Linked DNA regions of Sus scrofa. The protein of the gene in region 1 purifies or fractionates together with the protein of each later gene. This does not show direct contact. Links are inferred from orthologs where the notes say so. Each region holds a gene or a part of one and is shown on either strand. Other genes may lie near its edges.

What was found. The genes of interacting proteins can lie anywhere in the genome.
Region 2: the proteins of VDAC2 (region 1) and FAM162A fractionate together in Homo sapiens (co-fractionation; 3 studies listed by BioGRID and IntAct, with this or other methods). This does not show direct contact. The link is inferred for Sus scrofa from reciprocal best matches to the Homo sapiens genes VDAC2 and FAM162A.

The regions. Positions count from the first base shown.
Region 1 is NC_010456.5:77,779,925-77,782,924, reverse strand, and holds the end of VDAC2 (voltage-dependent anion-selective channel protein 2), read right to left. Parts: intron 2,916-3,000; coding exon 2,858-2,915; intron 992-2,857; coding exon 900-991; 3' UTR 598-899; downstream 1-597. UniProt on the Homo sapiens protein: Non-selective voltage-gated ion channel that mediates the transport of anions and cations through the mitochondrion outer membrane and plasma membrane.
Region 2 is NC_010455.5:138,124,209-138,127,876, reverse strand, and holds part of FAM162A (protein FAM162A), read left to right. Parts: intron 1-563; coding exon 564-672; intron 673-3,668. UniProt on the Homo sapiens protein: Proposed to be involved in regulation of apoptosis; the exact mechanism may differ between cell types/tissues.

The DNA of each region.
Region 1 (3,000 bases):
TCACTGAGGCCCATACATTTCCCTCTCGCAGACTCTGATTACTGACACTGTCTACACCTAAGTCCACTGCCCTACACCTAGTCCCATCCCACAGAACTAGGGCCTGGATCATTCCCATAGCAACAGCTTGAAGGGATATGGTGTGTGTATACAAACTTTAGCACCACCTCCTTTCCCTCTTTTTGTCACTTACATGCTAACCTTTCCTGGACTTAATGAGCCAATGCAATTTTGCATTAATTTATAAAATAAAGATATTAAATGCATTTATCTTATTGTCTAAAAATATCACTGAGTTACTCTTGGGACAGAGGACATTATAAAGAGCAAAATGCTCATTGGAAAATAAAGCACTAGCTAGATACCAGGAAGATTTGACCCTACGTGACAAGTTTTTAACTCTGCAAATACTTGGAGTCATTAATTATATATACTTGTTTTATTCATAATTTATGTCTGGGGATACCAAAAGTAATTCTAATGATGGTTGAATTTAACAAAAAATTTTAACCTCATCTTAAAATATCCACTTATCCATCTCATTCAATGGCAATATTAAATGTTAAAAGGAACATAAAAACAAACATGCACACCAACTGCACAGTTTTCATAAAGGTCTATTTCATTATTGGTGGGCAGCGCATTTAACAGTTAAATACATTTAAATAATGTATAGGTGACTGCACGACTGCAGCATTGATAACTAGATAGATAACCAATTCAACTAGAAACCAGCTAACAAGTAACTGTCTAAATATTTAAAATACAGCTCTTGTTTAGATCATCCTTTGTTTTGATCACCTTTTTGGGGGGGTGGGGGTGGGGAAGCCTGCTGGTCACACTGGAAATATATTAAGGCCAAATCTGATATCCATTCCCAGAGGTTTCTTTCAGCTGGATTAAGCCTCCAACTCCAGGGCAAGCCCAAGTTTGTGGCCTCCAGCATTAATGCTCTTCCCATCTACCAGAGCAGACAGTGTCAGCTTCACACCTGTAAACAAAAGCAGACAACCATCATGTGCCTGAAACCTCACGAGTCTGCAATCTTCTTTTTAAATAATCATGTCACAGCCTGCCTGTCACTTCTCAGCCTGTCAGATGACCTACTAGTGCCAGCCACCAGAGGGCACTCGGGAGTATCTGAGATACAAGAGGGAATTCAGTTGGCACCATCCTAAGAAAAGCCATCAAGTGACAGCATTAAAATGTTAATAATAAAGCTCAGACAGCTTTAGAAAAGACAATAATGTTCAATACATTATCCAGACTAAAGGACAATCATAACTGGATCCTGAAAAGGAAAAACTACAATAAAGAGACATTTTGAGGACAAGCGGGGAAATCCAAATACAGACTATATATTAGGTGTTATTTTAAATTATTAATTTCCTTAGCTATAAAAACAGCCCTGTAGTAATAATGTAGTTTAAAACATCTTCCTCCCCGGACTAAGGCTGATGTGTCCATGTGCTGCAGAACATATTTAAATAATTCATAAGGATATATGTAGAGGGAAAAGAAAAAGACTACATATACATAGAGACATAAACATAGTAAATGTTAGTAACTGGGAAGGTATATGGGTGTTCGTGGTACCACTCTTTTCTTTAGGTTTCAAAATAGTCAAAAAGTCTGGGGAAAAAGTTCTAAGTGCTTTAGAATCTGGCTATTCAAATGGTTCAAGCACCAGCCATACTGGCATCACCTAAGAGCTTATTAGAAAGACAGAACCCTCCTGGAATTCTCTTGTGGCACCGTGGGTGGTGTGGTGCAGGTTCAATCCCTGACCTGTGAACTTCCATTTGTCATTGAGTGGAGCCAAAAAAAAAAAGACAGAACCCCTCACCATATACCTATGTGATTAGAGTAAGATTCCCAAGGTGATTCATGCACACACTGATATCTGAAAAGTACTGCCCTAGAAAACAGCAAGGCTCAAAATACTATGTAAAGGAGTTCCTGTTGTGGCACAAAGGAGATGAATTCGACTAGTAACCAACCATGAGGTTGTGGATTCGATCCCTGGCTTTGCTCAGTGAGTTAACGTTCTGGCATTACTGTGAGCAGTGGTGTAGGTCACAGACTCGGCTCAGATCCTGCATTGCTGTGGCTGTGGTGTAGACCGGCAGCTGTAGCTCTGATGTCTCAACCCCTAGCCTGGGAACCTCCATATGCCTCAGGTATGACCCTAAAAAGAAAAAAAAACTATGTAAAGTAAATGAGACTACAAAGACCAAAAAACCAAAGCAATGACTGATCTATGACTGGAGAAATAAAAATTACAAGGAAAGTTAAGTAGAGAATGGATATCAAGTTAATATGGAATCAATGTTACCTTTATCAGGGTGCTAACAGTACTGTGGTTATACAGGACAATGTTCTTAATTCTGAGACAAAGCATGTTCAAGATTAGGGAAATGGCATGGTAGCTGCAACTTCCAAACAGCCCATATAAAAAAAGGGAAAGGAACAAGAGTTCCCATTGTGGCTCAGCAATAACAAACCTGACTAGTATACATGAGGATCTGGGTTCAATTCCTGGCCCCACTCACTGGGTTAAGAAGCCCGAGTTGCTGTGGTTGTGGCGTAGGGTGGCAGCTGTAGCTCTGATTCGACCCCTAGCCTGGAACTTCTATATGCTGCAGGCATGGCCCTAAAAAGCACAAAGAAAAAGAAAGACAGAAAAAGAAAAAAGAAGAAAGGAATACAAATTTATGGCAAAAAAGGTAAACATGTGTTGTTCACTGTACCCTTCTGTCAATTTTTCTGCATCCTTGAAAGGTTTGCAAAAGAAGCTAAAAAATGAAAACTAATTTTGAAAACACTATCAGAAAAATATTTTATCAAGAATACTTACCAGGCCTCAGGGTCTGAGTGTAGCCCACTCCAATTAAACTAGAGTTGTTGACTTTTGCCTAAAATAAAATGAAAAAGCAAATGTTAAGAAAAATTTTTGAATGGCAGGGCAAAAGCCCCTACATGTTTCCCTATCATGCAATT
Region 2 (3,668 bases), on another chromosome or scaffold:
AAAAATTCTGCTGAAGTCAAACGAGCTTCTCACTGTTCCCTTCTCAGTTCATCCTTCTGGCCTTTATATCTGTTCATGACATTCTTTCCGCTTTCAGTGGCTAAGGCTTATATTGGGGAAGTAACGCTCTTATTTTACAGTCCTCACAGAATTTTTTTTTTAGGGCTGCACCTGTAGTGTATGAAATTCCCAGGCTAGGGGTCAAATTGGAGGTGCAGCTGACAGCCTGTGCCACAACCACAGCAACATGGTGTCCGCTGAGCTACGTCGGTGACCTACACCACAGATCATGGCAGTGCCAGATCCTTCACCCACTGAGCAAGGCCAGGGGTCACACTTGCATCCTCATGGATACTAATCAGGTCGTAACCTGCTGAGCCATAAAAGGAACTCCTACACAATTTTCGAATCTCATTTGAGAAATGAGCAACCTAAGAAATTCCACTCAAATAAAGCTCTAATTCTGTTTAGTGAATGGCTAAAAAGCACAAATAGCCTATTTCTTTTGCTAAATTTGAGTCAGTCTTATATAAGTAAGATATCTTCTCTTGTTTTTCTCATAGACACTTATAGCCACAGAGTGCCATTGCATAAGCCTACAGACTGGGAGAAGAAGATCCTGATATGGTCAGGTCGCTTCAAAAAGGAAGATGAAATCCCAGAGACTATATCGTGAGTGCCGTATTTAGAGTTGTAAGCAGCTTTTATTTTTCAATGATCTGATTTAAAGGAAAAGCAGTTCCTCTGGGGCTGATCATTTAAAACTTTACAATGGAACTTTCAAACAGGTTTCGTTTCTCTAAATGTTACTTACCTCTTTGGCAATACCTGGAATAAAAACAGTACTGGAAAGTGTTTGTCTTATCATTAACATCTTATGTAGTACCTGGTGAAGAGCTGTCAGATACTCTGAAGTAAGTTGATTGATTTCCTCTTTCAGCCACAGAATGTGACTAAACAGTGATGTTCACTGTTGTTGTTGTTTTAATTTTTTTTTTGTCTTTTATTCTTTTAGAACTGCACCTGAAGTGTATGGAGGCTCCCAGGCTAGGGGTGGAATCAGAGCTGTTGCTGCCCAATTATGCCGGAGCCACAGCAACATGTTATTTTTTTTACATTTGTTATACATTTATTTTTGTAATTTTTTTTTCTCAGCTGCTCCAGGCCAGGGATTGAATCCATACCATAGCAGCAACTCAAGCTCATGGAATGATACAACTGGATCCCTAACCCACTGTACCATAAGGGAATTCCTGTAATTGCCTTTTTAAAAAAAATTTTTTTTTTATTTTATGGCTGCATCCATGGTATATGCAAGTTCCTGGGCCAGGGATTGAATCCAAGCCTATACCACACCTGCAGCAACACTGGATCCTTTAACCTACTGTGCCAGACTGGGGATTGAACCTGCATCTACTAAGTGACCTAAGCTGCTGCAGTCAGATTCTTAACCCACTGTACCATGGTGGGAACTTCCATAACTGCTTTTTCTTTTTCTTTTCTTTTTTGGCCACTCCTGCAGCATATGGAAATCCCTGGGCCAAGAATCAAGTCCAAGCTGGAGCTATGACCTATGCAGTAACACCAGATCCTTAACCTACGATACTGGGCCAGGTATTGAACTGATGCCTCCACAGAGACAAGCCGGATCATAAACCCACTGCATCACAGCAGAAACTCCCCTGTAACTGAATTTTTTTTTTAATTTAATTTTATTTTTTTAATTCAAGAAGTATAGCTGATTTACAATGTGTTAATTTTAGATATACAGCAAAGTGATTCAGGTATTATATATGTGTATGTATGTGTGTATATATATGTATTCTTTTTCAGATTCTTTTCTATTAGAGGTTATTACACGAGATCGATTATAGTTCCTGTGCTGCAGGTCCTTGTTGTTTATCTATTTTATATATAGTAGTTTGTATCTGTTAATGCCAAACTCCTAATTTATCCCTCCCCCCTTTGCATTTCCCCTTTGGTAACCAAAGTTTGTTTTCTGTGTCTGTGAGTCTGTTTCTGTTTTGTAAATAAGTTCATTTTGTATCATTTCTTTAGATTCCACATGTAAGTGATATCATATGATATTTGTCGTCATCTGCCTGACTTTGCTTAGTGTGATAAGCTCTAGGTCCATCCATGTTGCTAAAAATGACATTACTTCATTCTTTTTTAAGGCTGAATGGTATTCCATTATGTTTATATAGCACATTTTCTTTATCCATTCATCTGTCGGTGGACATTTAGGTTGATTCCATGTTTTGGCTATTGTAAATAGTACAGCTGTGAACATTGGGGTGCATGTGTCCTTTCAAATTAGAGTTTTTGTCTTTTCCGGTTAGATGCCCAGGAGTGGGATTGCTGGATCATATGGTAACTTTCATTTAGTTTCTTAAGGAACCTCCATTCTGTTTTCCATAGTAGCTTAACCAATTTACATTCCCACCAGTAGTGTAGGACTGTTCCCTTTTCTCCACACCCTCTCCAGCATTAGTTATTTATAGATGTTTAAATGATGGCCATTCTGTCCAGTCAGAGATGGTACCTTATTATAGTTTTGAATTGGATTTCTCTAATAATTAGCAATGTTGAGCATGTTTTCATGTTTCTGTTGGCTATCTGCTTGTTTTCATTGGAGAAATGTCTATTTAGGTCTTTGCCCGTTTTTTGAATGGGCTGTTTATTTTTTTTTTTTTACTGAGTTATATGAGCTTTTTGTATATTTTGGAAATTAAGACATTGTCAGTTACATCATTTGCAAATATTTTCTCCCAGTCCTTACATTGTTTCGTTGTTTTGTTTATGATTTCCTTTGCTGTGCAAGAATTTATAAGTTTGATTAGGTCCCATTTGTTTATATTTGCTTTTCTTTCTTTGGCCTTGGGAGACTGACCTAAAAATACATTGGTACGTACAGTTTATATAAGAATATTTTGCCTACATTCTCTGCTAGGAGTTTTATGGTGTCATATCTTATATTTAAGTGCTTAAGCCATTTCAAGTTTATTTTTTTATGTGATGTGAGGGTGTGTTCTGACTTCATTGGTACATATGGGGCTGTCCAAGATTACTTGCTGAGGAGACTGTCTTTTCCCCATTGTATATTCTTACCTCTTTTGTTGGAGATTAATTGAACATAGTGTGTGGGTTTATTTCTGGGCTCTCTGCCCAGTTCCATTGATCCAAATGTCTTTTTGTGCCAGTATCATTTGATTTTGATTACTGTAGCTTTGTAGTATTGTCTTAGGTCTGGGAAGGATATACCTCCAACTTTGTTCTTTTTCTTCAGGATTGCTTTGGCAATTCTGGATCTTTTGTGGGTCCATAAAAATTTTAGGTTTCTTTGTTCTAGGTTCTTTGAAAAATGTCATGGGTAATTTGATGTGGATCATATTAAATCTGTAGTTTCCTGTGAGTTGTATGGCCATTTTACCAATATAGCATGAGATATCTTTCCATTTCTTTGAATTATCTTCAGTTTCTTTTGTTAATGTTTTATAGTTCTCAGTATATAATTCTTTCACCTCCTTGGTCAGGTTTATCCCTAAATATTTTTTGTTGTTGAGTTTTTTGTTTTGTTTTGTTTTGTTTTTTGTCTTTGTCTTTTAGGGCCACACCTGTGGCATATGGAGGTTCCCATGCTAGGGGTCAAATCAGAGCTACAGCTG